4 linked regions of the Saccharomyces cerevisiae S288C genome follow. Changing the gene in region 3 together with the main gene of any one other region gives a genetic interaction. Each region holds a gene or a part of one and is shown on either strand. Other genes may lie near its edges.

Evidence for each region.
Region 1: mutations in ENA1 (region 3) and NHA1 impair growth when combined (synthetic growth defect), as found in Saccharomyces cerevisiae (6 studies listed by BioGRID, with this or other methods).
Region 2: of ENA1 (region 3) and TOK1, changing one enhances a phenotype caused by changing the other (phenotypic enhancement), as found in Saccharomyces cerevisiae (2 studies listed by BioGRID).
Region 4: of ENA1 (region 3) and SNF1, a mutation in one rescues a mutant of the other (synthetic rescue), as found in Saccharomyces cerevisiae (2 studies listed by BioGRID, with this or other methods).

Annotation. Positions count from the first base shown.
Region 1 is NC_001144.5:415,641-424,100, reverse strand, and holds NHA1 (Nha1p), read right to left. Parts: upstream 5,665-8,460; coding exon 2,707-5,664; downstream 1-2,706. Other genes in the region: RRN5 (Rrn5p), read right to left, coding at 1-418; SLS1 (Sls1p), read left to right, coding at 628-2,559; RKM5 (S-adenosylmethionine-dependent methyltransferase), read right to left, coding at 5,992-7,095; TIS11 (Tis11p), read left to right, coding at 7,443-8,300. UniProt on the Saccharomyces cerevisiae protein: Sodium export from cell, takes up external protons in exchange for internal sodium ions. Also capable of exporting potassium ions.
Region 2 is NC_001142.9:251,026-258,370, forward strand, and holds TOK1 (Tok1p), read right to left. Parts: upstream 5,788-7,345; coding exon 3,712-5,787; downstream 1-3,711. Other genes in the region: mitogen-activated protein kinase kinase kinase BCK1, read left to right, coding at 1-666; KHA1 (Kha1p), read right to left, coding at 796-3,417; DNA helicase SRS2, read left to right, coding at 6,398-7,345.
Region 3 is NC_001136.10:531,481-540,394, forward strand, and holds ENA1 (Na(+)/Li(+)-exporting P-type ATPase ENA1), read right to left. Parts: upstream 6,988-8,914; coding exon 3,712-6,987; downstream 1-3,711. Other genes in the region: Na(+)-exporting P-type ATPase ENA2, read right to left, coding at 1-3,102; mitochondrial 37S ribosomal protein uS10m RSM10, read left to right, coding at 8,323-8,914. UniProt on the Saccharomyces cerevisiae protein: Catalyzes the hydrolysis of ATP coupled with the export of sodium and potassium from the cell. May export potassium less efficiently. May transport other cations such as lithium.
Region 4 is NC_001136.10:1,409,341-1,416,899, reverse strand, and holds SNF1 (AMP-activated serine/threonine-protein kinase catalytic subunit SNF1), read right to left. Parts: upstream 4,528-7,559; coding exon 2,626-4,527; downstream 1-2,625. Other genes in the region: PEX29 (Pex29p), read left to right, coding at 26-1,690; SNM1 (Snm1p), read right to left, coding at 1,729-2,325; YDR476C (uncharacterized protein), read left to right, coding at 5,773-6,447; JIP4 (Jip4p), read left to right, coding at 6,806-7,559. UniProt on the Saccharomyces cerevisiae protein: Serine/threonine protein kinase essential for release from glucose repression.

The sequences.
Region 1 (8,460 bases), on a different chromosome or scaffold from region 3:
CGCTCAGTTTTGTCTCCAGGGCAACCCACTCAGCGCTCATTTCGTACGCAATGGGCGCTCCGTCGTCACCCGCCTTACGCGATCTCGCGCTCGCACTCGCTCTCCTTAACAACCTGTAATAACCTAGAATCTCCATGGCGCTCTTCCGAGGCAACAATGAGCGCCACTCGTCTACACGGTGGATACTATAGCGTGAAAGGCACCAGAAAAAGGTATTCTTCTCCTCGCTGTCCCAGTCTACACCAACGCTAGAGATTTCTACACCAGCATTGGCGGTACCCGCCTTTTCATGGATGCTCTTTACATGTACTTTGGAAGGATGGAACTCAGCTGGGCGGCCTGACGCGGCACCATTGTAGAATTCCTCGACCTCCTTATTGTACAATTCGACGTACTTCCGCAATTGTTGGTGCTCCATCCTAGGTGACCGTCGTATGCGCTGTGCTTTCCTAGCTCTTCTTCCACTTCTGTTTCTCTATACTTTTTTTTTTGTTTTTCACCTCGCCCGCCTTTTCTTATTTCAGTGAACTGAAAAAAAAAAAAAAAGTTATGTATCTTTAATGTAATAAAACTAGTACATAATATATACGGAGCTTGAAGGCACTGGAGAAAATATAGAGTAAGCATATGTGGAAATTCAACAAAAAGCTCGCCCGTCTTACTTACCGTCTTTATTCAAGCTCAGGCCCAAGCTCGCCCCTTCATGGGAAGAAGAAACTGCCGCAAAATCTGAAATTCGTCGTCTTGAACCCTACCCAATCTGGGCTAGTGAAAAATGATCAGAAGCAGCCTAGACACAGGCCGTCTAAGAAACGTAGCCATAAGGAAACTGGAGATAACAACCTCGATTTCGGCTCGAAACTCCTTGTCTTCGAAAAGCAGAATTCACTAGATTCCGCATTGAACTCCATCCGATTGAAGAAACCGACAAGCGCCAGTCTGCCCTCCCTGGAATACAATGCCCTTCTCCAATCGCTTACATCAAGCTACAATCGCTACCAACTGCGCGAGTTCATCTCCACACATCAGCCAGACTCCTCTTCACATCTGACGCACTGGAAGAAAAGCAAGCTGTCCCAATATATAATTGAAAAAATCTGGAATTGCCAACCAATTTCAACACCCACCACTCCCACAGGCATCAAGTCCACATCATTGACTTTCCAGTTCGATTCTCCTAGAGAAATTTTCCTTTTACTCATCACTCAAAATGGTAAAATACTCACCAACTTCAATAAGCTCGGGCTGACATTCATCATCTCCATTCAGGATAACGAATTGACCGTCAAGGGTTCGCCTAGCTTGCTCAAATACGCAGAAATATCCTTAAACAAAATATGGTCAAACATCACTCATGAAAATGTGCGTATGTATTCCCTCATGCCATCAAAAGACGTCATCAACCTTATTCAGAAGGAAACTCACACTTTTTTTGAATACCTCCCGGACTTGCAAATGTACAAGATTTCAGCCCTAAGCACCAAGAAAATATCCATGGCCAAAGTCTTTTTATTAAATGCCGTCGCTTCTAATCCTAACACAACTCAACACCACCACACAATAGCCTCACCAGCACTCAAGACAGAACTCTATCCGTTCAACAATACTCTAGAGAACTTGGACTGGCTAAACAAGTCACAAGATTGGGCAAGATTACAGTCAGTTGTCCCTAAAAATTGCACAGATCTGATGACTCCCACTGAAAACGCCACACCAGAATTGACAGATGCGCAGGTCAGCCAATTCGAATCTTCCTTGTCTAAAAATATACCATCTCTCTCCCCTTCCGACTCTATTTCCCAATCTTTATCAATAACGCTAGGTCACTCCTTACAGTCCGCGTCTTTTTCTAGTATTTTCCAACCTCTAATACATAAGAGTTTTATTTCAAAATTACTGAATCTACCAATGTACAAAGAATCATCATCATCAGCCGTACCTGTGCCTGTGCCTCTTGATCAACATCTAATAACAAATGCGCATCAATCCTTCATACAGCTGAACTTCACTCCTGTGCCGCCCACCTCTGGCTCCTCCTCGTCCCCTTTTTTGCAGATTTGGTTCGAGATTGACGAATTCGATAACATTGTTACCACCTCAATGAGGCCTCTTTTGAAATTACAAGAAAATTCTGTTATCTTAAGAACTCCACAATGCCAGACAGACTATAAGATCACGTCAGATTACATTCAAGATCTTTTACCTGATTTCGACCAGACCAATCCGGATGCTTGGTTATCTGAACAAAAAGGCCTCCAAGAATTTCTTCTCAAGTCACACTGGAAGTTAAACAAATATCAGAATCTTATGAAAAAAATCAACATTTCTTTACCAGATAACCTAATACAGCAATACCAATTGACTGATGTTTTGACCCATCGTGTCTTGAATTTACGATTTCCTACGAACACTGCCCAAGATGATAAATACATCATTCAATATTCAGATATCAGCCGCGGATTTTTGAACAATGGCTCCTACAGACAATTAGATTTCATCAATGTGAACCCCAGTGAAACCTCACTAAAAACCTTTATCAATGATGTTTTAAGCTTTTAAGTTTAACGGAAAAGAGTAATGACAAAACCGCATACCCCCCCCCCCTCCCCCTCTTTACCGCATCTACTCTATTTCCGACACATGTAAATAAAAAAGGCATTTCGTTTATATATATACTAAAATAATATATCTTTGTGTATTAATAAATTACTTATTGAGACCAAGCGTTTTTGATAGCGCCGACTTAACAGCAGCACTCTTTTGCTTTTTTTTTCCTTCCGCTGTACCTGGACCATCGTTTCCTGTTTGTGCCTCCACAGGTAAGGGCGGCAACTCTTCGTCATCTTGATCCGCTGGTGCCGTCATCTCACCTAACGCATTTAACCTTCTTTGTCTTTCGAATTCAGTTTCTGATTCATATGCATTATCGTCGTAATCTTCACTATCGTCCATGTTATAACTATCACCTAAATCCTCCTCAGATGAAGGTTCATCTTCCAGATCTAAGGAATCTTGAACTCCTCTCGGTGGCGCAGGTGTTAATGTCCTTTTCTTTAACATCCCTGGGCCCTTCCTGGAGGGTCCTTCGATGGCTTTTTCTTCATCTACTGGAGGCGGTACGCCGCTGTTCGCTTTGCTCTTTAGTCCTACTGCTGTTAAAGCTCTTGATACAACACTATCGTTTCTTGGGCGGTTTTTACTTTTATCATCATCAGATTTATGAGGATTTATCTTGTATCTTTTTATAACATCACCGTCCTCATTCTCGATGATTAACAGATTGTCTATTTTAAATGCATGATACTTGCTGTTTTTATTTTTATCCTTTCCTTTATCAACCAATGAATGTATCTTTCCTAAAGATGTGGGAGTTAAAATTCTCTTTAACCTTCCCCCACTACTACTGGATAGATTGGTCATTGTGGTAGTTAAACTTGAATGGGCTGTACTATCAACACTAACTTCGTCATCTCTCGCCTCATTGCGATCCTCGATATCTACTTGATTCAAGATTTCACCTTGCTTATTTTCAATAATCATTCTATTACCATCTAAATAAGCAGTACCAGGTTTCATTTCTTCCTCTTTCATTTTTCGAATTCTCCTCTCTTCACTACTGGCCATTGATCTTTCACTTTCATTTTCCATCTCGTCTTCGCTTTCAATCTCGCTTTCTGTCTCTTCTCCATCGTAACGGTTTCTTGGTACGTAAGTTCTTCCTCGGAGAGATGAAGATCTTTCAGACGACTCAAAACTTGGTGTGTTATTGTAATTATCGCTATATTCCTTTTCCGGTGTGTACTCATCTTCTTCTTCATCTCCACCCATTCCAATCTCCTCATTACGTTGTGTATTGACGGCTGTGCTCAATGCAAATGTGGCGGCGCGTGCTTCCTTTTCTTTTTGCAACCTTTCTCGTCCCAGATCATTCAACTCATCGTCATCATACATTTCATTTTTAGATCTTGATGAAAATATTTCTCTACCTTTGTTTCTCAGTTTCTGTCTTCTGTTCAATCTTTTCTCTTTTCTTGACAATTTCCTCCTCCTTGGCATACCACCAGCGGGTCTTGCAGGAATTCCGCTCGTTGCGACGCTACCAATTTGATCATTGTTTAATCCTTCTTCATCTTCACCTCCTGCTAGTCCCTTACGACCTCCTCCTTCTTCTGCTTCACCTTCATCCCCTGATAAAGTCATTTGAGTATCCATACGATGCAATGAAAATGATCGTCCAGCTTTATCCAACGATGGCAACCTTTGCATCCATGAACTTTTCCCATTATCACCATTGGTGGTGTGTGTAGTGAATGTTTTGGTTAACGTTATCGTGTTCAAATGACGACCTAGAGTTATGATTGCAACTGAAGAACCATGAACTATGATAGAAGTAACAATGAAAAAACAAGTTATTGGCCATATACAGGCTATCAGCTGCCAATGTTTACTTTCCTCTTTTGATGGTACAACATTTAAAGGAGTGGGTTCGTCACTAAAGGTAGACTCTAATTCTCCACGAGCTAGTATAGCGGCAAAAATTGCACCTACACCAATAGGACCAAAATGGCCCACAAAAAGTGCCTCACGCCACGATTTTATATCAGGTATAAGAGGTCTTAATATCATGACTGCAGGGATCCTACGTAAAAAGATGACCACTATCGAAAGTATAATTAAACGCCAGACGTTTGTGCCAATTTCACCGTTGTTGAATTGACTCCAAGGTATAATGGCACCAAAATAGATAAAATACGCATAGTTTAGTAGCAAATCAATCACGGTAGAAACATTACTTTCTTGTGTCTTTTGAGAAAACCACCCATCCCAAGCGAAAGTCGCACCGGCTGCAAATGATACCAATAGGTCATCCACACCCAAAATGGAGCCGAACCCAGCACACATGAACGCCAGGACAACGTAAAATGCTAAGAACGACTCACGATCGATAATGTTTTTCTTTTCGGCAAACCTGATGGTGATTCTGCCTACATAACCAATGAAGCAACCTAGCAAGCATCCAAACAAACACTCATACAGGATAGTAACGCAAATCCAATCTTTGACAATTTCTCTTCCATTACCGGGATGTAGGATTAAATTCATAGAAAGAAATAAAAAAGGAAAGGCCATACCATCATTGCAGCCTGACTCTGCAGACAGTAGATTTCTTAAGTGACCAGGTACTCTTTGGGCAAACTTACCGGAGACGACCGACTGCGCCAGAATAGGATCTGTTGCGGTAATGCACGCAGATATCAACAAACTAGCAGAAAAATTCAAGCCAGGTATAAGAATCCAAACGAAGAGACCAATAATAAGCCATCCAGCTGTCATCACTGGCAATAATAGCATCGTCACAGATACCCAATGCTTCAACATATATTTCCGTGGCAGTTCCACGGCAACGGCAAAAATTTGCAAACATAATACTATTCTCGTTATCTCTAATGTTATACTGTCTGAATTCCCCCATTTCAGAGGATTAAACCAGTTCAAGCAAACAGGACCCACAATTAGCCCAAATATACCTGCTACGGTGGACTCACCAATATAAAGCTTCTCCTTGACATAAAGTGACACTAAAGAGAAGATAGATGAAAAGACACCAACACATGCATAAGCAACGTGCGCCTTTGAGACTTCTAGTTGCTCCCAGATAGCCATAATATCTAGCTAAGTTCAGGATTTTTTTTTATAATGTACAAAAAAACACGATGCTTGGGAAAAATAAGTGCAGTGGAAAATGAAGCTTAAAAATCAAATGTGTGTAGAAAGTGTGATCCTATGTAAATCGCTAAGTCCGCTTTATCTTGACGATAACGGATCCAGCAGCTTTTAGATTATTAGCTATATCACACAGAGTTGGCTTAGTGCCCTTGCTAATCAAAAATGAAAATCTTCCCAATCCGTACGGAGGGGAAGAGGCACTGCCGCATCGCAAAGAAAAATAAGATTATCAGCATTATATTGTTTCTATTATTATATATGGGACTAGGTGATAAGATAAAAGTTAAAACGGGACTCTTGTATGACCTGGTCAACGATATCATAAACCGTGAAGTCATATTCTATGATGGCTTTCTCCAAGAACAGTGTTGTCACCTCTTGTGACCGCAAGTGTATCCCCACGAGGACATGGAATTGCAAATTGTAGGTAGTTTGTAACCAGTGTTTGAGTTGCTTGAGCGTCTTCAGAAACGGATCTATCAGGTACTCGTTGTATATGACATCCATAGCTATAACGTACACGGAAGAACATGTTTCACCTATGAGTGACAACTCAGGATGCAGAGAGTGGGTCTTTTTGTCTTGCAAGTTTATCTTCTCCCAGTCTAGAGCGGCTACTTCCAAATGCAACGTAGACTTAGATGGAAGTGACGCTGCGGTGATATCAGCGTCGCCAACTGGTTCGACGGTGGGAAGTTCCAATCTTAGTGATCGGGAAATGCACCGCTTTCTGGTCAACTGTGATAAGTTTTCCATGATGTTATCTTTTAATTTATTAAGAATGCCCTTCTGATCTGTCGACACGTAGGTGTCGACGAAGTTACCAAGAATCACGGGCAAAATACCTGATATTCCTGCTCCAAGTTCCAAGATACCTCTCTTGCCGCGATCAGCGCCCGTGAGGTCGACCAGCCTGGGCAACTCAAGCTTGTGCCCCTCGCAAGAAGACCCGCAGGTTACTTCCACCTGACTCCCAAGACGGAAAGGTGCAGCGCTAGTACTATACAGCAGCCAGTTGATGAAGAAAGGTGTGGTAGACCACAAAACGTATCCTGTGGTGGAGTTTCCGTTGTCTCTGGACGAGCGCAAGCTTGATATGGACTGCCCCACGCTAACATGATAGCTATCCACAGCAACATTCTGATCTTCTTCAACACTACTAGCCTTATTTCTTCTTCTCACTCGCTTTTTTTTTCTGCCGCCTTCCAGCCCAGAGGGTTCAAACGTTATCTCTAGCACACCGCCCCTTCTATCCTGAATACCCAAATCCTGCGCCAGTTTCCCGGACTGGCCCTCCAATTGTGTGTACCGTTCGAACACGTGCTCGTATATTGTTTCCTCATCCAGTAGCCATAACTTGAATGCCATTCTGCCTAGCCCATTTGCGTCTTCGCTGCCGTAACCATTCTCTCTTCTTGACAGCACTGCCTTGGTCAGTTCTCTATATTTGTCGCGCCGCCGCAAAATGCACCCACATTAAAGAAGACGACGCCAATCGACACCCTAATTTGGAGGTGTAGATGCACAATGGCACATGCAGTTGGGTGCATTGTGCCAGCAATCTCGTCTCGATTTCTCTACATGTAACTTGTATATATATTTGAGAGAAGACATAATCGTTGGTGGGACTTGGAGGCTCTTGGTAGGTCGTATTTGTGCATCTTGAGAGAAAGCGAAACAGTGCTGCAAACTCAATACGTAAAAAATAACGCAATATGTGGGCTCAATTATCATATACTAGACCAGAATCTCAGAAGACTGACTTAACGTCGTTGTTTTCCACAGATCAAGAGCAAAATCCATTAAATGACTACCAGTACCAGATCAATATTAGGGAACTGGAGGAGTATTACAACAAGACGATTTTAAACGAGGATAACATACAGGAAACAAGCAGTGAAATATCTTCGGCAGTTTCATTCTCTCCACCAAAAAATACAAACGCTATTCAACCGGGGCTACTGTATGATCCACAGTTAATGAACCCTTTTCTCCCATCCGCTCACCTGAATAGCACGGCACCTACTACTTTTAAAAAGAAACTAGAGGTACAAATAAATCCGGACTATGTCCCAAAATCTTCACAATTACCATTAACTTCACAGAATTTGCAACAGTTGTCTCAACAAAAGCCCAAAAATGATGCTTCTTTTTCATCAGAGAAGGAATCCTCAGCTCAACCTAAGGTGAAAAGCCAAGTGCAGGAAACTCCCAAACAATTATACAAGACAGAGCTGTGCGAATCATTCACTTTAAAAGGAAGTTGCCCTTATGGCAGTAAGTGTCAGTTTGCTCACGGACTCGGCGAATTAAAGGTTAAGAAATCGTGCAAGAATTTCAGGACGAAGCCCTGTGTGAATTGGGAGAAACTAGGTTATTGTCCTTATGGCAGAAGATGCTGCTTCAAACATGGCGACGACAACGACATTGCTGTTTACGTGAAAGCTGGTACTTACTGTAACGTCTCTTCGACTAGCAAACAATCAGACGAAAAGAGAAGCAATGGTCGCGGCTCCGCCAAGAAGAAGAATCTAAATGTTAAAGTAAAGGCTTTGCAGAGAATGACCTGGTGAAACAATTCCTGGCCTGGCGAAGACCGGCGTCTCAACTAAACTCAATTATTTATTATTTTTTTCTCCATGTTATGCTTTTTTTTTTTCTGCTTTTTTTTTTTTATTCTCATTTTCATGTTTGCGATATTGGTAACTCTAAAAAAAAAAAACTTTTATTTAA
Region 2 (7,345 bases), on a different chromosome or scaffold from region 3:
GAATATGTTGCTGGTGGCTCCGTGGGATCCTTGATTAGAATGTATGGAAGATTCGATGAACCGTTGATCAAACATTTAACAACACAAGTATTAAAAGGATTGGCATACCTACACTCGAAAGGTATTCTCCACAGGGATATGAAGGCAGACAACTTACTTTTGGATCAAGATGGTATCTGCAAAATCAGTGACTTCGGAATTTCAAGAAAATCAAAGGACATATACTCTAATTCGGATATGACCATGCGAGGAACAGTCTTCTGGATGGCTCCTGAAATGGTTGATACAAAGCAAGGCTACAGTGCAAAAGTTGATATATGGTCTCTGGGATGCATCGTTCTGGAAATGTTTGCTGGTAAGCGCCCGTGGTCCAACTTAGAAGTCGTCGCAGCCATGTTCAAAATTGGAAAGTCAAAATCGGCACCACCAATTCCTGAGGACACTTTACCATTGATATCGCAAATCGGACGAAATTTTCTGGACGCATGCTTCGAGATAAATCCAGAGAAAAGGCCAACCGCTAACGAGCTTCTTTCTCATCCTTTTAGTGAAGTAAATGAAACATTCAATTTCAAATCTACCAGACTCGCGAAGTTTATAAAGTCAAATGATAAGTTAAACTCTTCAAAATTAAGGATAACCTCTCAGGAGAATAAAACTGAATAGCTATTAGGATCGATCTATACTTAAGATATTTATGCATACGTAATAATATAGAACAATAAACATAGATGACGGAATGACGGAATGACTGAAAATTAAGAACAAAGAAAATTAAAAAATTTCTGCTGATACTTATTCAGACGAAAAATGGTGCACAATAAGGGTGTCAAAACGACGATTCGACCCTTCAAATATTACAGTCCTCACCTCTTCGCTGAAGGGCTCACTTTCATCAGGAAGGTCCTCTCCAATAATAAAGGTAGTCTCCTCTATATCAGCTAAAGCAGTATCTGATAAACCAACATCAAGCACAGTCTCTATAAAGGACGGCTTTTCAATTGCTTCTTCTGGAACTTTCGTTTCAAAGGGGATATCCACAATTTTAATGGTAGATTCGTTTAGCCAGTCATGCTCAGCAAATGCAGTTGACAAATCTTTTGCGAAATCAATATTCTTGCTGTTAATAAATATACTACAGGATGCATTATCATTATTATAGCCATCTCTATAGCATATCAATAAGAGAAGATATAGTCCAAGATAATCGGATTGTGTCAGGTATGGTTTTGGAAGTAATAAATTGAACCGTTTCCTCTTAAAGCGATCAGCATTTAATCTGCCATAGGTATTTGAAATTTGAACGGCAAAATTTGCCTTGAGTGACTGGAAAATAGACTTGAAGAAAGTAGATGATAGTTCATTCAGACCTAGGAGATGAGAATAAATGTGATCAAAGTTTGCGTATTTTTCATCAATGAAGACTGGGCTCCCTCTATACTCATACGAGGCCCCTTTTAATGGCAATAAGATCAGATCTGTGGAATCCATTTTCATCGTCGCTATATTAGCTGCCTTTTCACGCATTGTAGAAAATATGACTTCACTTGAAAATGGTATTTTGCTCAGGTTTGAAAATATATCAAAAATTTGTAATAGTGAATCTGTATTTGCGGTAAAGTGGGGATCATCATTATATAGAGAAGATGATTGCAGCAGATCAGTTGTCCGTTCAGTGAGCAATCGTAAATGAATGGCCCTCAATGCACCGACTCCCTCAAACGGGGTCAATTTTTCATCTATAACACTTAAATTGGTATCCACATCGTCAACGCTTTTAGACCAGATATGAACCATCTTTTTTATTTTGAATGTGTTAGATTTCAATGTGGAATCAGTAGCTGTTGTCATTCTGCTCAAGGAGGTTTCGTTCTTATGTTTATTATTCTTAGGCTTGGGAGATACCCCTAAAGACAGGTAATTTAGCAGCTTTAGAGATGGAGAGATCGCTTCTGTAGTGTTTATCACCGTGGTCAGTTCACCAATTCTATATTTGCTAACATCTGCCAATGAATTAAGTTGAGTGTTAATTTCAGTCTTGTCCACACCCTCAGAATCGAGACCATCTGCTGCACCATCATCTTCTGCAGGTGTAGATAAGGATTTGCGAACACCATCCCGGTATGAATCTGGGTAAACAAGCTGAGTCAGAGGAGTAGTGACAAAAGTAGAAACTAATGCCATCAACACAAACATACCAAATATTTTTCTACTGATAATGCCCGCATTCAAACCAACAGTTAAGACAACGATTTCAACGATACCTTTGCATGACATCAAAACACCGGCTGCAGTGGCTTCTCTCCAAAATAAGCCAGTAAGTTTAGCTGTAAGAGTACCTGAAATAATTTTGGTGAAAATGGCGATGCCGATTGTGGCGAAAACATAGCCCCAATCTCTTCCCTCATTTAATAGAGTCAAATCGACATTTAATCCTGCAACAGCAAAGTAGATTGGAATGAAAACAATGTTAGGAATATCTTCCATCCTTTCTGTTAATTTAACAACGTAGTGATCATCTCTAGGAACTACTAAGCCAGCAATGAAGGCGCCAAAAATAGGATGAACTCCAATAATATCCGTAAAATAAGCAGAAATGAACATGATGAATAGAATGCACATCGTTGCCAACGGTGAAGGCTTGCTTCTGTCCAATTCATGGGTCCTTATGAGCACCCATCTTAATAGGTATTTTAAGGGAAAGAAATAAATCAAAAACCATGCAAACGTGATAAGCAGAATATAAACGGTATTGACAGGGCTCCCTTCTGCACTAGAAAGAATAATACTTAATGCTAACAAAATCCATCCCATTATATCGTTAATGATACCCGCCGCAAGGACAACGATACCTGCTCTATCCTTGATCAAGCGCAATTCATTTAAAATACGACATAAAACTGGAAAAGCCGTAACGGAGATGGAAACAGCTATAAATACCATGAAGACAGAGAATTTAATATGCCTTTCGCCTTCTGTTTTGTTTGCATAAGTGTGAAATAAAGGAATCGCCAGCAGACAACCAAAACCGAATGGCACTGCTAAAGTGACTATACCTATCACGAGTGCTTTCTTTAGGTGTTTCTTGATGAAAGCAATATCCACTTCTAAACCTAAAAAAAACATAAACAGTATTATTCCCAAATTCGCCACTAAATTTAGCCCCGGGATCGATGATGTAGGGAAAATTGTGTTTGTATAGTTTGGAATTTGACCAAATATAGTAGGCCCCAAAATAACACCAGATATAACTTCTGAAATGACTTTAGGCTGCCTCATCATTGAAAAGGGAATGTGAATTAAATTGCATACCAGTAGTATGAGACATGCTTGAAAGAGAAATAATGTAAGCGGCGAACTGGAGTTGTAGTGGAACGGATTTACACCCGACAGAATTCCTCCTACAGTGTTTGCCATTTGATAGAATATAAATAATACAACTTCGTAATAATAATAATCGTTGGTATCATTTGATGTGTGCTTTAGCAACAAGAGATGATATAATAAGCGAACAGTTTTTGTTTTTTATTTTCCCTTACTGGAGCTCAGCCACATTAATGCGAGACGCAACGGGTGCATAATATTGAAAGCGCATTTACAGCAGAAAAATGCTTTCAGTATTTATTTTGAGATGCTGAATATAAATATTTAGAGAATACATCCGTAGTAGTCTACAGTAAGATATAAATCAATGCTTCGGGTGTTTGTATATCAAAGTGTCTTTCTATGCTCACCCAAAAATTTTCTTTTGCTTATAACTTTATAAAGCTCTTCGTCTTCTACTAGATTACCAACTAATTCTTCTATGTTCTTGAAAAGCATCATAAAAGCAAAATGAGGTTCATTTAACGGGAACTTGAGGGGCGTATCAGGTGATATCCAAAATTCGGGTCCGCGTGTGTACTCCTCAATATCTGTAATGTTCCTCAAATGTAGTTTATGAATGTACGACCAGTCGGAAAAACTAAGTGTGTAATCTTTATCCGCCAGACATATCCGATGTAGTTTTTTGACGGCTTTAAGTAGCTCTTGCAAGTTCCTTAAATTACAGGTCCCCGAGTCCTGTAGTGCATATTCAGCAGAAGAAACATATTCTAGAGGAAGTATTCCCTCTGGGCTAGATGCTTTTGATAATGAAGAAAATGATTCTTGCAGGCTTGCAGGAGGGGATGTCACTCCAGAATCATTCTCTTCTGAATTATTATCGTTGAATTCAGAAATTTGACTGGATTGTGAGCTCGTTGTATTTTCTTCCAGATCACCATCAGCTGTGTCAGATTCTTCGAAAATTTCTCCAGTGTTCACCATAAAGGAAAGTGCTCTTTGACGCCCATTAAAAACGATGGACTTGACTTTATTATTGAATGATTCACCGATCTTAATATCCAGAGAAGTGGAAATGTCAAACAACAGATCACCGACTGTAGATAGGATAGCCCCCATTAATGGCACGGCTCCCAACGCCCAAATCACAAAAAAAGCACGGCCTGCACCAGTCCTTGGAGCATAGTCTCCGTATCCAATGGTTAATAAGCACAAGAAACAAAAGTAAATACAATTGAAGTACGACCAATTTTCTGCGAATTTGAATACAAGAGCTCCCAATAACCAAAAAGCCATGAAAATTGCAATAGTCACCGACAAAGAAAACCAATGCTGCTTCCTTGAGGCCGTTTGTCGGATACACTTCATTAAGTCGAACGCTTCCCTTTCAGATAAATTTTTACTACTATCCATATAATGTTTCCACGATTTGGACCTGCCTTTTTCAACTCTGTGGAAAAAGAAAATTGGGCCAGAGGACTTTTGAATGATGGATCTTGTCATAAACACTATTAAACCCATCAAGACAACACCAGATAGCGAAAAGATTAAAACCATGATTTTGGCGCCAACCGACTTGGGCAGGATGTCACCTAGTCCCACGGTTAATAATGATACCGTGCAGAAATATAATGCATTTCCGTAAGTGATGTGCAATAAACCGCTAAACATACCCGCACCCCAAATCAACCATAAAGACAATAGTACAGTGTATGCCATGATACTTCTTTCATTGGGCAAAAGGTTGAACGTTGGAGGATATTTTCCTAATTTATATCCAATAAAATGTATTGTTAAAATAATGGTGCATACCAAATATAGACCAGAACTGATACAGGCAAACCAAAATCCGATAGTCTTACTGTAGATGCTGGGCATGTCATTCAAGGAGCATACAATCACGTCCACCAAAAGCATCCCTCCAGCTATTGTCCATCCTGTTATATTTATTAACTGAGATTTAAGATACGTCAACTTCTTACTGAAATGTAGCATTAGTATAATATTTGACGTAAAACCCAGTACCAAAGAGATGATATTAACGGCAAAAATACCAGGAGGATCAAAAACTGTCTTTACTTGATTCATCAAAACATCGGTGTCATTGCTTCGTGGATTTGTCACCACGGAGTTGTTCTTTAAGGATCTCCATTTTTCAACTACACAGGCTATCGAGATAGTGTTAGCTACGGGACCCAAGCAGGCAGTAATCACAGGGAAATAGCATGAAACCACAAACCAAAAGACGAACAGTGTTGAAGAAGGCTCTGCATTAATAATACTAACTCTTTCGTCCCGGAACCGCAATGCATCCTTTAGTTCCTCTGCAAGAACACCCTTAGCTTGCTTCGGTGTGTTGTTTGAATGAGAATCAACAGCCTGAGCTGAGCTCTCTTGCTCCACTGTCGCCATATTGCCATATCCCAGCGTTTGTTTGGCAAAGCTGTTCATGAACCTTGTCATATATATAGAAATCGGTAAAATAAATACAAGAAATATGCTTTGTTATACTGCTAGAAAGGAGTGAAGACATCTGCTCACGATCTACGAGATGCGGCTATTTTTGATGGAAAAAGATACATAGGGTCAGGCATTTTTGCCATATTGAATAACCAAGATGGTACTGAGTACTCAGGTAATGTATATTACATTGAGTACTTCACTTGTATACACAACCACTGCTTCGTATTGTATATCAAGTATCTAACTGTTGATAAACTACAACTTTCTCTTCAACCATAATGATAGCGCCGCTTAAAACATGCTAGGGTAACGAGACGCGAATGCGAAAAACTCCCAAAAAAACCAAAACAAACAAAAGTGACAACAATTAGAACGATGCTGAAGAAGAATAGGAGCGAGTTTAGAGTTACCTCCAGCTATCCTGATACTACTGCTTAGGCTACCTTCGCAGAGTCTCGATAAATTTGCAGTCGGCAAGATAAGAATATTTCTCTACAGCTTTTAGACAGCTTCCTGTCCCTCTAGTTTCTTTTGCCATCCATAATTGTACTCTGCACTTTGAGTATCATTCCAATTTGATCTTTCTTCTACCGGTACTTAGGGATAGCAAATGTCGTCGAACAATGATCTTTGGTTGCATTTAGTATCCCAGTTAAATACTCAACAGAGAGCAGCGGCCCTCTTTGATTACACTAGAGGGCTGCAGGTCATTGCCGGTCCCGGCACAGGGAAGACTAAGGTTTTAACTTCAAGAGTAGCGTATCTTATTCTGCACCACCATATTCATCCCCGCGATATTATAGTGACTACTTTCACTAACAAAGCTGCTAACGAAATGAAAGAGCGTTTGCAAGAAATGTTACGCGGGGCAGGCGTGAATATTTCGGAGCTCTTAATTGGTACTTTTCATAGTATTTGCCTGAAAATACTTTATAGATTTGGCCACTTGGTGGATCTACAGAAAGACTGGAGAATTATTGATGAGAAGGAAATAGATGTCATTTTAGATGATATGATCGAAAAAGTTCCCGACCAAATAAGGGATTATGCTTCCTCAATCACAAGGAAAGTAAATCTTTGTATGCCGAGTAAAAATGGAGATGAATGGACTATTCATCCGAAGCTGATCAAGAAACAGATATCAAAGCTAAAATCAAACGCAATATTACCTGAGGAATACATCTTAGATTCGAATCATGACGCCGCGCTTGGTTACTTTTACCAAATATACCAATCAGAGCTAAGCAAGAAAAATACGTTAGATTTTGATGACTTATTAATGTACACCTTTCGTTTGCTGACTAGAGTGCGTGTTTTATCCAACATAAAGCATGTTTTAGTTGACGAATTTCAAGATACTAACGGCATTCAATTGGACTTGATGTTTCTTTTTGCTAAGGGAAATCATCATCTTTCGAGGGGGATGACCATCGTAGGTGATCCTGATCAAAGCATATATGCTTTCAGAAACGCCTTAGCGCACAACTTTCTAGAAATGGGCAGAAAATGTCCCATCGAGTACTCAACTATCATACTTGTTGAAAATTATCGTTCATCA
Region 3 (8,914 bases):
AATTGTGAATGCAATGGCGAGACCCCATTCAGCACCAATTGGTTTATGCAAAAACACTTTATCATTAATAACCGGAATATAGACGACGGGGAAGGCTGACACAAATCCAAAAATGATTGACCAGAACAAAAACTGGTTTCCCCAAATACTTCTGAAAAATTCCTTGACTGGGCTGTCAGTGTCTGGATGCATTCTGAAAAAGGATCTTCTCATGTCAACCACTTCCCAAGCCAGAATCAAAGCGCACCACGTCATGGTTGCGAAAGCCGCAGAACGTGATCTATAAACATCACGACAACTGCTGTTATAGGTGCCATCACAATCGTGCCCCAATCTACCACTATTTATTCCATACAGTGATCCAGTAAATGAAGCCATACAGGACCCTGTCATTATAATCCCATATGCAAATGTATCTATAATAACCTCCCACGTGAAAATACCAACCTCTGAATCATGAGGAGGTCTATCCATCAAATCTGGAGCAGCCTTTTCTAGACCTAGCCCCATAGCAGGAAAACAAGAGGTGACGACAATAATCCACAATACTTCCACTGGTGATAAGGGAAATACTGATTTTCCGTTCTCATCTCTGAATACTAAACCAATGATCAAATACAAAGCCTGAGCAACATTTTCTGCCAATAATTGTAGGACAAACTTCTGAATGTTATCCGTCATCCTACGACCTTCTTCGACAGCATTCAAAATAGAAGCAAAATTGTCATCGCTTAGAACAATATCAGACGCTTCTTTGGAAACATCTGAACCATTAATACCCATTGCAATACCAACATTGGCCATTTTTAGAGATGGAGAATCGTTAACACCGTCACCTGTCATTGCGCAGAACTTCTTCCTACGGTGTAAAGCTTCGATCATTCTCACCTTAGTCTGCGGAGAGCAACGTGCAATAACTAAAGGTAAGACGGGCAAATCGTCCACTTCCTCCTCACTTAGTCCGTCAAACTGAGATCCGGTCATGACCATACTGTCAACAATCTCTTGGGAGTAATGGTACAAATTGGTGGGTAAGATGCCAACCTCCTGAGCGATAGCCTTTGCTGTACCCACAAAGTCCCCAGTTAACATATGAACGTTAATACCAGCTTGGTGAAACTTCTTGACTGCACCGGCAGTCTCATTTCTGGGTGGATCGTAAATACCAATCAACCCTAGGAAAACTAAATCACTTTCTGCGGTGGCCCTGTTTGAAGTAATGTTTTTCAATTGATCGTCATTCACTTGATCTTTAGTGAAAGATTTGGAGGCAAAACCCAAGACTCTTAAACCCTCATTTGATAGACTGTAAACATTTTTCCTTATCGTTTCGACATCACAATCGGTCAATGGTGTGATTTTTACACCATCCTTACCATACCAAGAACTGCAACAACTGATGATGCTTTCGAAAGCACCCTTGCCATAAATATTATATGTTTCGTTGTGATTGTTGTAGTAGACAGATGACATTCGCTTCACAGTTGAGTCGAATGGGAATTCAGCAATATGTTCGAATTGTGCACTGCCAGGCTTCTCATTGTGTTGTGAAAGAGAGGATTGGTCATTCTCATTACTTTGATTAGTCGATTTCTCACCGGTAAGGGCATTGTGAGGCAAGTCCATCTTAGTAGCAAACACTTGAATCGCAATTTCTGTTGGGTCACCATGAGCTTTCCAACAGTCAGTTGCGTCATCTTTGAAAACAGTAGCAATGTTAGCCAAAGTGGCGGTTTCGAGCCATTTTTGAAATAGATCCATGTCAATATCTTCTGGTAAATCTTTTTCGTATAGGCGATCCTTGAAATTCTGGAGAATACCAACGTCACCATCCTCATTATGAGAATATTCGTAAGGTGAAAACCTTGGAATCAAACTCACGTTGCCCTCATTGGGATTAAAGGGGTCATCAGAATTCGAGATAGTTATGGTACCAAAGCGAGGGATCCAAATTTGCCTCGCTAACATTTTACCCTGTGTAAGAGTACCGGTCTTGTCAGAACAGATATCGTTAACGGCACCTAAAGCTTCCAGAGAATCTAATTTTCTTACAATAACGTTTCTAGAAACCATAACAGCAGCCCCAACAGACATGGTGATGGTCAAGACAACGACTAATGAAGAGGGAATCATGGATAGGGCCACACAAATGGCATAGATAGCTACCCTTTTATCTACGTCAAACTTTTGAGAGGCCATGACGATGATAGCAAAAAGTACGGCAATCCAGAAAAGCAATACCGCCAACTTAGACAGTTTCCTGTGCAGGGGCGTACCGACATTTGTACCTAAAAATGCACCAGTAACTTTCTTTGTAGATATCCATGTATTCTGTAACCACGACTTACTAGGATCGCGGGAAATGAGACCTGAATCACCTTGTAGAGATTTTGCAATTTTACCAATTTCACTATTCAAAGCTGTCTTGATGACAATACCCTTGGCTCTTCCCTTGACAACGGCGGATGAAGAAAATGCTAAATTCAAACGATCACCCACGGAGGTTTCTTCTTCTTTTCCAAACACTAAGTTGGCGTCTTTGGAGACAGGCAAAGATTCACCGGTCAGTAGTGATTCATCAGTATCAAAATTCTTAGTTTCAATTAAACGCAAATCAGCAGGAATAGTATCACCGACCTTCACCAGACAAATATCACCTGGAACCACATCTTTTGAGTTTATAGTCTCACTTTTCCCGTTCCTAATAACATGAGCATTGGGAGAGCTCAAGTTTTTCAAAGAGTTCATTGTCTTGGTAGCCTTATATTCTTGAACTAGGCCAATGAGCACATTGACCGCGATAACAAAAGAAATAACGCCACCAGTAATCCAGTCGCGCACAGCGAAAGAGATCGCCATGGATATTACCAAGACCATAATCATTGCATTACATACCTGATGGAGGACCATTGCTTTATAGTCAATTTTGGTATCATCACCCAATGTGTTCTCTCCCACTGCTTTCAGTCTGCGGAGGGACTCATCTTGAGTAAGACCTTCAGTCAGACTTGTGCCTATAAATTCAGCGGCTTCTTCTGTAGTCAATGTGTGATAAGCATTGAATTCTTCATTATTGTTTTCTTTGACAGTTCCCTCGCTCATCGAAAATTTTCAATTATGTGTACAAAGATTTTTCCTCAGTGAGTACATACGTTATCTGATAAGCAAAATACGAATATGAATAACGTTGATTTGGTTAACGTATTCTCGATGTAAAGGATGAAGGAAAATAAAATTCTTTCCTCTTTCTTTGCCTCGAGAGATAATATGGAGATTTAAAGAAGAAAACATCAGCCTCACAATTACACCGCGCGGTGATATAAGGATTTTGATAAAAGAATATATGTGAGTTGAATTTGAACGTCCTGGAAGGAAAAGTCTTGACGAAATAAACGCATTAATTTTCTAATTCTACAAGAATTTAACTAATCCTGTATTGAAATTCATAATTTTAGTTAAGAACCCTGTCATACGCGTAACGTAACTGTATCTGTTTCATGATTTACAACGGCAGCAATAAGAGTATAGCAGTAGTATTCCTCTAAGACATATTTGAACTAGAAAACATACTATTTAGGCTTGTTTATGTTCAGAACCTGTGAAAAGTTCGTTTATAGTAAATAAAAAAACAAATAACAAAATAAATGTAAATATCTAAATATATGAAATGAATAAGGAAAAAGATAGGGAGCACTTAATAGGCCCTGCCTATCATTGTTTAATACCAATATTAACTTCTGTATGGATTGTAGTAGAAGTACTATACGCTTCGAATGGATCGCGCTTATTGTTACTCTCCAAATCATTCTCCGGGTTGTGCGCTCTCTGAGTTTTGAAATAGCGCCTCTTTCCACACTTGTAAAGTTCAGCACCTATCCAGAATGCAATTGTGAATGCAATGGCGAGACCCCATTCAGCACCAATTGGTTTATGCAAAAACACTTTATCATTAATAACCGGAATATAGACGACGGGGAAGGCTGACACAAATCCAAAAATGATTGACCAGAACAAAAACTGGTTTCCCCAAATGCTTCTGAAAAATTCCTTGACTGGGCTGTCAGTGTCTGGATGCATTCTGAAAAAGGATCTTCTCATGTCAACCACTTCCCAAGCCAGAATCAAAGCGCACCACGTCATGGTTGCGAAAGCCGCAGAACGTGATCTATAAACATCACGACAACTGCTGTTATAGGTGCCATCACAATCGTGCCCCAATCTACCACTATTTATTCCATACAGTGATCCAGTAAATGAAGCCATACAGGACCCTGTCATTATAATCCCATATGCAAATGTATCTATAATAACCTCCCACGTGAAAATACCAACCTCTGAATCATGAGGAGGTCTATCCATCAAATCTGGAGCAGCCTTTTCTAGACCTAGCCCCATAGCAGGAAAACAAGAGGTGACGACAATAATCCACAATACTTCCACTGGTGATAAGGGAAATACTGATTTTCCGTTCTCATCTCTGAATACTAAACCAATGATCAAATACAAAGCCTGAGCAACATTTTCTGCCAATAATTGTAGGACAAACTTCTGAATGTTATCCGTCATCCTACGACCTTCTTCGACAGCATTCAAAATAGAAGCAAAATTGTCATCGCTTAGAACAATATCAGACGCTTCTTTGGAAACATCTGAACCATTAATACCCATTGCAATACCAACATTGGCCATTTTTAGAGATGGAGAATCGTTAACACCGTCACCTGTCATTGTGCAGAACTTCTTCCTACGGTGTAAAGCTTCGATCATTCTCACCTTAGTCTGCGGAGAGCAACGTGCAATAACTAAAGGTAAGACGGGCAAATCGTCCACTTCCTCCTCACTTAGTCCGTCAAACTGAGATCCGGTCATGACCATACTGTCAACAATCTCTTGGGAGTAATGGTACAAATTGGTGGGTAAGATGCCAACCTCCTGAGCGATAGCCTTTGCTGTACCCACAAAGTCCCCAGTTAACATATGAACGTTAATACCAGCTTGGTGAAACTTCTTGACTGCACCGGCAGTCTCATTTCTGGGTGGATCGTAAATACCAATCAACCCTAGGAAAACTAAATCACTTTCTGCGGTGGCCCTGTTTGAAGTAATGTTTTTCAATTGATCGTCATTCACTTGATCTTTAGTGAAAGATTTGGAGGCAAAACCCAAGACTCTTAAACCCTCATTTGATAGACTGTAAACATTTTTCCTTATCGTTTCGACATCACAATCGGTCAATGGTGTGATTTTTACACCATCCTTACCATACCAAGAACTGCAACAACTGATGATGCTTTCGAAAGCACCCTTGCCATAAATATTATATGTTTCGTTGTGATTGTTGTAGTAGACAGATGACATTCGCTTCACAGTTGAGTCGAATGGGAATTCAGCAATATGTTCGAATTGTGCACTGCCAGGCTTCTCATTGTGTTGTGAAAGAGAGGATTGGTCATTCTCATTACTTTGATTAGTCGATTTCTCACCGGTAAGGGCATTGTGAGGCAAGTCCATCTTAGTAGCAAACACTTGAATCGCAATTTCTGTTGGGTCACCATGAGCTTTCCAACAGTCAGTTGCGTCATCTTTGAAAACAGTAGCAATGTTAGCCAAAGTGGCGGTTTCGAGCCATTTTTGAAATAGATCCATGTCAATATCTTCTGGTAAATCTTTTTCGTATAGGCGATCCTTGAAATTCTGGAGAATACCAACGTCACCATCCTCATTATGAGAATATTCGTAAGGTGAAAACCTTGGAATCAAACTCACGTTGCCCTCATTGGGATTAAAGGGGTCATCAGAATTCGAGATAGTTATGGTACCAAAGCGAGGGATCCAAATTTGCCTCGCTAACATTTTACCCTGTGTAAGAGTACCGGTCTTGTCAGAACAGATATCGTTAACGGCACCTAAAGCTTCCAGAGAATCTAATTTTCTTACAATAACGTTTCTAGAAACCATAACAGCAGCCCCAACAGACATGGTGATGGTCAAGACAACGACTAATGAAGAGGGAATCATGGATAGGGCCACACAAATGGCATAGATAGCTACCCTTTTATCTACGTCAAACTTTTGAGAGGCCATGACGATGATAGCAAAAAGTACGGCAATCCAGAAAAGCAATACCGCCAACTTAGACAGTTTCCTGTGCAGGGGCGTACCGACATTTGTACCTAAAAATGCACCAGTAACTTTCTTTGTAGATATCCATGTATTCTGTAACCACGACTTACTAGGATCGCGGGAAATGAGACCTGAATCACCTTGTAGAGATTTTGCAATTTTACCAATTTCACTATTCAAAGCTGTCTTGATGACAATACCCTTGGCTCTTCCCTTGACAACGGCGGATGAAGAAAATGCTAAATTCAAACGATCACCCACGGAGGTTTCTTCTTCTTTTCCAAACACTAAGTTGGCGTCTTTGGAGACAGGCAAAGATTCACCGGTCAGTAGTGATTCATCAGTATCAAAATTCTTAGTTTCAATTAAACGCAAATCAGCAGGAATAGTATCACCGACCTTCACCAGACAAATATCACCTGGAACCACATCTTTTGAGTTTATAGTCTCACTTTTCCCGTTCCTAATAACATGAGCATTGGGAGAGCTCAAGTTTTTCAAAGAGTTCATTGTCTTGGTAGCCTTATATTCTTGAACTAGGCCAATGAGCACATTGACCGCGATAACAAAAGAAATAACGCCACCAGTAATCCAATCATGCATGGCAAACGAGATTATCATGGATATTAGAAGGACCATGATCATGGCATTACATACCTGATGGAGGACCATTGCCTTGTAATCAATTTTAGTGTCATCACCCAATGTGTTCTCACCCACTGTTTTCAATCTGTGGACGAACTCATCTTGGGTCAAACCTTCAGTTAGACTTGTGCCTATGAATTCAGCGGCTTCTTCTGCAGTCAGCGTGTGATAAGCATTGAATTCTGCATTATTGTTTTCCTTAGTAGTTCCTTCGCCCATCGAAAATTTTCAATTCTGTGTACGAAGTTTTTTCTTTAATTAGTAAATATACGTATTGTTGCCTCAAATAAATGTGAATTAAGTGTGAACAGTTCACTTGATGAAGATATCTGCTTTATTAAAGTTAATATTAGAATATAAATGATTAGACTATTACTAATGAGAAAAGAAAGATAGGAGAAATAGTAGAAATTAATAGTACTCTAAAAAGAAAGAACGGAATAAGAGGAAAAGACCTTTTATCTATTCAAATTGTTTCCCTTAGGTATATATATATATATATATATATATATATATTTTCCCTGTATATATCTATGTAAATGACGAAAACGCATGACATTTTAAAACCTACCCCGGGTTTGACCACAACCCACCGTTCATCTAATATTAACCCGCACCCACCAAGGAAAGAGGCAATAATTCGGGAATACTGCTCTAAGACCTTGTTTTTTCTTCTGTCAGGTGAAAGTATATGACCAAAATCTACATCCCTGCCCTAACAAACGTCATAGAAGTAGGAAATAAATGATGAGCCCCGCAAAATGACGCCGCACGGCGATGTTTAAGACCCTGTACTCACAATGTAACCACTTCGTGCAGAAGCTTCTGGGAGGAAAGGGTCCGTACATGAATTATCACACCCACACCCCTCATTCAATCCTTCTACCGCGCATGGTAATCAATCATAACAGGAAGCGATAAGAAAGTTTACATTGCACAGCCACCCTCATTGCCTCTGTGATTGAAGATCTGGGAGTGGGGCTAAAGGTGCAACTTCCGTACAAGAGTGACGAGATAAAGGATTTTCCACGGAATGGCTGACAAAATTCGGGGCTTGTGTGAGTTCCACGTGCGGATGACTTAATAAGCTCAGTGATTGTACTTTTGACATGATTGATGAACGGCTAGAGATAGCCACCGAGTGGCTACTTAGTAATAACCAGCGTAGGAAACAATTACGGATTTTGTTATCGTTCACCGATAACCCTAAAATATTGACCACACTGGTAGTCATTAGAATTTAACCAAGAGGGTAGCTTAGTTCGACCGATAATCAATATTACTGAAGTCTTATCAAATTCTGACTCTTGCCATACCGTTTCTTATCGTCACTGTTTAATCCGGAAATTAGTCATGTATCCACACATCCTTTATTAACAGCAGAGAGATTGGGCAAGAATGTTAGCAAACTATGTACCAGGCGGGTAATACCTGTACATCTATTTTCTTTTGAAAAGGAAAAAATGCAAGAAAGGGCATGAAATGAAACTATTTGGTACAAATTAGAATTATGCGAACCGTGCAAAATCAGAAAAGGGGGAAAAACATTGGCCAATGCTTAGAAATACCATTGCATTAAGATCATTTATCAGAACACAGTCGACGCGCCCATATCCTGTAAATGTAGAGGCAGTCTACTATGCTCCTTTAAAGTTACCTATCAAATATGGTGATTTAGTTGCAGACATTCAGTTAAGATCGTATGACAATGAAAACCTCGATTTTTATTCAGACTTCATACTTAGAACAGGTTACTATTTGGGTATCCCATTGACAGGTCCTAAACCTTTGCCCACGAGAAGAGAAAGGTGGACTGTAATAAAATCACCTTTCGTGCACGCTAAATCCAAAGAGAATTTTGAAAGACATACACATAAGAGGCTCATTAGGGCCTGGGATACGAACCCCGAAGTGCTACAGATGTTGATAGCTTACATTACGAAGCACTCTATGGCAGGCGTCGGAATGAAATGTAACTTCTTTCAAAGGTCCGAAATATCGCTGGACTTGGGTTCGGACGCCAATGGCCTCGAAAAATCACTAAGCAATATCGATGAATTGTATTCTCTGAGAAACGATGATAAAGCTCAAACTAGTGCTGTCGGACAAAAAGTATTGGAACTATTGGATAGCCCCGATTTTAAAA
Region 4 (7,559 bases), 880 kb from region 3:
AGTCTCCTACTGTATATACGTCTAGATGGACTCGGTGACAAATTTTTTCTGGAATGACACCTATAATGCTGGTACTCCAACTAGATCAACTCTCAAGGGGAAGAAAGTGCAAAATGGCATAGATGGAAAAAGTCAGGCAAAGAAAGAGAGCATATCTAGTGGTTCTAGAACTAGTGATCCTACACGTGGTAGTCTGCCATCTTCCAGTGGACAGCCAACTAGTGGTGGCGGTTTTCCCTCGACATCAAACATCCAAAAGATGATGGCAGATACCCTGGTAGAGAAGATAATCAAAATGGCATTACCACCATCTTCCAAAACGGCTGTTGATACAATTCACCATCGTATGGTTGCTGGTAAAGAAAGGCCTAAGCTGTCTGTGCAGATCACGAGTAGGAATTTTATACAGATGAACTCGAGACTAGGGGTACCATTCATGATTATGGATGAATTAATAAAGATATTAAACTGGACTAACCCAGCGTATACAGTATCTATCATGTTCTTATACACGCTCATTATATTGAAACCTTTTCAAATGCTTTCTTCGCTCCCTATATTCTATTTGTTATTCTGCGTAATGGTCCCGCAATACCTTTACATTCATAAGCCAAACCCTACAAGCTATCTAGATAATAATCAAACACCAGCACAAGGCCCACCTTTGCGAAGACCTGAGGTTCCTAAACCAGTCCCTGAACTGAGCCAAGAATTTGTCTTAAACCTCACGGATTTACAAAACCATATGCTGCTATATGTTAAATTCTACGATTTTACTTTACTCATATTACAAAAGTTTGCATTCTTCACCAACGAGGCTATTTCGTCGTTTTATTTTATTGTATTGTTAATAATAGCAACATTAAATTTTCTGTACATGGATAAATTTATCAAGCTCATTCCAATGAGACCCGTACTGATACTGCTAGGTTGGGGTTTTTTTATTGCCTCGCATCCGTCCAATCGTGAATATTTGTTGACTAAATTGAATTCGGAGGAGACAAGATTAAAAACTTTGACTATAAGTACTAATCTGGAATCTAAGATTTTGCAGCATTTGAAACTCATTGAGGCTAGGGAGCACCGACTTGTTATGATCTTTGAGATCCAAAAGTATCTTCCTGAATACAAAGAATGGCGCCCAGTTGGATTCTCTGATGACGATTATTCTCTTTTCTCTAGTTTGAGAATATACCAGAGGCGTATTGAGGAAAATTCAGTGAAGTCATTAGAAGAAATTGAGCCACCTAAGGATTGGGAATGGGAAGCCAATTCTCATTGGGTGCTTGATTTGGATCCAAAAGAATGGGTAGAGGACGAATTTATTCAGTATGTCGAGATAGATTCAGAAACAAAATGGGTCTATGACCTCAATCTTGATGGACAAAGGGGCTCATATAGAAGGCGAATGTGGACCAACAGTTGCGTGCGGAAAAAACTGGATTCTGGTATTTCTTCAAACCTTGGTGAGGAGGAAGTAGTTAATCCATTGAGGGAAGAAACATATAGGCAAGGCGTACATGGCGTGACGAAGGGTTCAATGAGTGGCGGTCTAACTCACAGTAGTGATGATGACCGCGCTGATGAGGAAAGTATAAACGGTACTATTCCTAATCTCAACAATATCGACGCGGATGCATCTTATCCGTCAATCGAAGAGCTAACAGACACTCTCAATTCAACTATATAAACTTGATTTGTTATACTATATGTTCACTGATGATACAGTCAACTTTTCATAAAACTTTCTAATGACAGTGACGAACTTTTCTTCTTTTCCATTTTTTTCTCTTGATTTCTTTTCGATAAAAGGTTTGTAAGTGAGTTCAACTTTCTCTTCTTGGATCTCTCCTTACCAGTACTAGTTTTACTCTTTTGGGGCTTCTTTACCGCGTACGAAACCTTCCCGCTGCTGGTACTATTGATCATCGGACTAACATCTTGTCCAAATGTTGGAACAACGAACTCAGATTTCCACTCAAACAATTTAGACTTTTCACAATTCAAGCAATTAACCTGGATACATTTTTTTGGTCCTTCCATACTCTCGCCGCCAAGTTCGTCGGAGTCACCTTGCTCGGTATTAGTCGTTAACTGAAGACTTGCGTTAAAATTAGGAACGTAAACACACCCGCAATGGGAGCAAAATTTCCCACTTTTCAGTTGTTCTGGCAGCATGATTTGATATCGCTTCACAGAATTATGAAAATTTTTATAGTATAGTCCCGATAACGCTCTGGAATTCAGTGTTGGCAGTACATGTAGTAGGTTGTATTTTTGTCGCAGACTCCGTTCTTGATATTTTTCTGCCTGGTCTTTATTCATTTTTGGGATCCTTTTGTTGTACGATTGTCAAAGGTTCAGTATTTTTATTGTAGCCACTAGTAGTACTCATCTCTATTTTCACATAGAATAGCGTTTTCAATTTTTCTCATAGAGCGTGAAATTTGCTTTTCATCCGAAGAAATAATGCCAATAAAAGAACATTCACATCAATAAATTATGTTCAGGTTTATTTAATCAAGATTGTTTACTTTATACAAAGGGATATTATAAAGATGTTGCAAATACGTTACGATACATAAAAAAAAGGGAACTTCCATATCATTCTTTTACGTTCCACCATCAATTGCTTTGACTGTTAACGGCTAATTCCATAATTAGTTTTGTTGTTAAATGTAAAAATGGGTAGGCTGAAAAAGTACTCATTTCATCTTCAGAAATATTAGAAACAGTAGTATCATCTCCATAACTACTTTCCCAGCCGTCAAATTTGAAATCCACCAAATAATTATTGGTTTCAATTTGAAATAATTGAATTACCATTTTCATTAAATCAGGTATTTTTTCATTAGTGTTTGTCTTGTTTCCAATATCATATTTCCACCTTAATTTGATAGTCCATAAATCCTCTTCAGATGGCTTGGCCCATTCGGCACCCAAATTCTTCAAGGCAATATAAATTTCACCCATAACGTCTAATGGATATGAGCGAGATCGTATACCAAAATGCCATCTCGTTTTAGATTTTTTCGTTACAAGAGGAGATATTTTAGAGGCAGCTGGCGAACCTTGTGCTAACATATTAGCTCTGTGGATCTGAGGTAAAGATGTAGGCAAAATGGAAACTGTAGAGTCTTCTTCTTTATACTGATCCATGAAGGGTGATTGGTGATATGTCCTTTGTTGAGTGATAGCACTTGCCATCCTTCTTGCGTGTTGCTTGGCAGTTTCATGATCTACTTGACTCTTTTGATGGGATTTGCTTTGTTGTTGAAAAGTTGGAGGTGACTGGGACAGAAAGGTATCCAGTTCATCACTGACGCTTTTGTTTGCCTTCATATCCTTGATCAAAGATTTATTCTCCTTAATCAACATGTACGCGTCCCTAATTTCGTTGAATGCAGGAGTGTCTTCTGATGATTCTAAGGACTCATAAATCTCGTCTTTTTCGTAACCCATGGTCGATGATAAAATATTGACAAGGTTGTCATCAATTTCATCGTTATCTGGGCTGCTGCCATCCTTTTTTGAGTCATTATTTTCATTCTCTTCTTCTGGGTGTGGTTTCAAATCTGGTGGAAGTAGATATTCTGGCAGGTCAACTTTGAACCAATCGTCTTGCATAATTTCATGAATGCTTATTCTGTTCAATGGATTAACGATTAACATTCTTTTGATTAGCCCAGCAGCTCCAGGAGATAAAAATTTAGGCAAGGTGTAAACACCGTTGCTGATATTCTTGAAAAGCACTGGGATGCTTTCATCGTCAAACGGTAGACGACGACAAAGCATAACATAAAGGATAACCCCACATGACCACACGTCCACTTCTGGGCCTGCGTACAGCTTACCGCTGATAACTTCAGGAGCCGCATAATTGGGAGAACCACAAGAAGTCTTTAAGAAATTACCATCAGTCATGATGTTTGACAAACCAAAATCGGCAATCTTTACATTCAGATGCTCATCTAGTAGTAAGTTTTCAGGCTTCAGATCTCTATGGACAATTTTGTGCCTATGGCAGTACTCGACGGCACTGATGATCTGCTGGAAAAATCTTCTTGCCTCTTGCTCGCTCATTTTGTCTCTCTGAACAATATAGTCAAACAATTCGTTCCCGGCGTACTCTATAACCATAATGATTTCATCTTTGGATTTGATAACATCATACAGTTTGATGATGTGGGGGTGTCTTAAGAGTCTCAGATAAGATATTTCTCTTTCAATTCTGCCCTGCATATCACTCTTTGCCAAAACCTTCTTATTAATGATTTTTAGAGCAACTTTTTGGCCCGTAGTGGTATGATATGCCAATTTAACTTTACCAAAGGACCCCTCTCCCAGCGTTTTGACGATTTGGTAGTTCCCGATATGTGCACCATCCGCTAAGGACGACTTGGGATTGTTTAGCGTCGAGTTGCTTCCGCCATGACCGTGATGGTGGTGGTGATGGTGGTGATGGTGGTGGTGGTGGCTAGAATTTGCATTGGCAGGTGCTGTGTTTGTGTTGTTGTTACTGCTCATGTTGACTTTATTAAGGGAGTGTAGCAAAACTTGTTACAAAAAAAAACTTCTATTTCTTTCGCTATGATTATTGAAACAGCCTCTATATATTATCAAAAGCCAATGACACTGAAACAATTTCTATTGTCGTGCTTTTTTTTTTTTTTTCAGGCTTCAATCTATTGTTTATCGTTATACTTCCTGAATGACTGTTTGGACACGAATGCGCAGTAAGAGGAAATGTGAAAAAAGAATATTTCGATAAATGAAAGTTCTGGTAACAAGCCTACAGTACTAAGCCCAAAGCTATGTCTTGGCCCCTATAACGCTACCTGTTGATGTGCCATACTCTTACCAACTTTCTTTTACGTTAAAAATTTCCATCCCCTTCCGCTACGAGAAAAACTGCAGAGGGTAACTATGACATGTACTTTCTAATATGGGCCTATAAGGACTATATACATATGACTAACATTGAGTAAAACCAGGTCTCGAGTCCCATCATCACGCCCATCCTTTTGCATCCACGCCGCCACGCAATTCCTCTTTTTTTGAAGTTACTTGCGTCATGTGGGACATCATATGGGACATCATAGCCTGCAAGATCGAGAGTTAAATATACGACTAAAAGAAATAGTAGCACACTGCCATTTCCAGCTTTTAGTCCCTTGGGGAAGGTTCAGCATTTGATAGCAAATGATTGTACAGTTTATAACCGTATCTAAACGTACGGACATGTTTTTTCCTAGGGCCTCTATTAAAAAAATCTTTGAAATTTCCCTTCAATGCCACCCTTTTTTGCCAGGCATTGGTGGCCATGATTTGTTATGGCTTCCAAGAAAAGGTTTTACTACAGACGCCTTTACTACAGAAGATGCCTCTTCCTATCGTGATTTGCCCTCCAGACAAAAGCCGCGGACATAACGATGGCGGATTGCATTAGACAATGATTGCTATACGGAGGCGAAAGAGATAGCTAGCGACTTCTTAAAGGCGACATTGCTCCGCTACAAACGTGGTGGAGTTTTAACCCTACGAATTCAGTTACAAGGTTGAAGTTAGTGAGCAGCTTCTGTTCTGCCGTTTCTTGCGCAGTCTTGAACTTTCTTGGTCTTGCCATGTGGTCGGGATATTCTGTTCGTTTATAATTACTCCTTGCCACAAAGTGCACACCTATTTGGATATGGTATATATAAAGAGTGGAGGCTTATATCGGCGAGAGCGTGCGTTCTATCAACTCAAGCAAGTATACGGGTATACACAAGTATGTGGGATTCGTTAATTGTAAGCATCAACGATACGCACAAGTTGGGGCTGGAGGATTGTCTCGCCGTTTTTGGCCACGTTCCCATTACCAAGGCCGTCAAGCATGTCAGACTGACAGAGATCGACACGCAGACGTCCACGTTTACGCTCAAGTTCCTTCACACAGAAACGGGTCAGAACATCGAGAAGATTATCTACTTCATTGACAATGACACGGGCAACGATACCCGCACTGCTACCGGAATCAAGCAAATCTTCAACAAGATGTTCCGCATCGCTGCGGAGAAGAGGAAGCTGTCGCTCATCCAGATCGACACTGTTGAGTACCCCTGCACTCTAGTAGACTTGTTGATCCTGGTAGGCGTGGCGCTACCGCCATTGTGCTACCTCTATCGTCCTGCACTGCACGCTATCTTTTTCCTGGTCCCTAATCCTGTGGGCTCCACCTTAGAGGCGTGGCTGGATAGTGATCTTGTGCTGCGACTCATCATTGTTGCCGAGTTCCTGACTCACGCCCTCGAGACGCTCATTTTCGTCGTCCCTAGGCTCAAGTACTACCGTGTTCCTGGCGAGTTCGTGCCCGAGTGGCTTCTTCTAGGTCTCCTCGAAGGTTACGGTCCTGCGAGACGTCTAGATACTAAGGCTCGCACTCTTGGCGAAGGGTCAGTTAATTAGTCCGAGGCCTTTTTTCATTTTGTCTCCCTATCCGACTGGAAAAGTTCTAGCGAAAAGTGCAGCAGACGCTGCAGCAACAGGAACAATTTCCGAATGACCCACCTGCGGTGGTGTGGCACACGCATTCTGCATGTCTCAATAACCTCTAGAATTATCTATATACTTTTTAGTAAACACAACTTAAAACCCTTTTGTCTTTTCCAACATATTTTGCATATAATTTTTGTAAAGGTTTTTTTCTTCTCTTGAGTCCACTCACTATTCGAAAGCAATATCAACAAATAGAAGCTTTCTTCTATTTTTAAGGGAAGGAATCTTTAAAGTACAAGGAACAGAAGATACTAAAACATAGGGGGAAATGGTGGTACGAGATCAAGATGAGGCGTTGAGAAATTCTTATAAATATGTTAAGCTGTATGTCAGGCAGGACCAGCTGGAGGATACGGTGGACATACTCGCTAAGCAGGACGAGGACAAGTCCAACAATGATGACAGGCGCAGTCTAGCCTCGATATTGGACTCGAGCAGTTCCGTCAAAAAGAAGGGGAAAGGCAGCAACGAAAAGTACCTACCATGCGTATCTTTCAACACAGTTCCCAGATCAAGGGTATCTTCGCCCTTAGATGAAGAGAAAAGAGAATTTCCTGGCGTGCAGATCTCTGCAGATTATACAATGGAGGAATATTATGACGACGAAAGTGGCTTTACCTCGGACAACAATGCCGACTACTTCTCCGGGAATAGCTATTCGAGTAGGCGAGAGGGCAGTGCTAGTCCCGGCAGGTATTCTTCTCCACCTCCTGCCTCTAAAAGAAACATCAAAATAGGTAAGATGTTTAAGATTTCTGAAAATGGTAAAATTGTAAGGGAAGACTATCCTACTACACCCACCGATATCAATGACGCTCTTGTGATTAGTAGGGCGTATGCCAATTGGAGACAACTATGGATCAAGAAGAAAAATCAGATAGATCATCGATTAGAACAAAAGCGCGATTTCTTCAATTACCCAACAATACTGTTTCCTCCAAACAAAAAAAAGTCGTCTGAGGGCGCTACTCCCACAATAAAATTCAATCCTCCCATAGAAGACGGCTTTACGCCTTTGACTA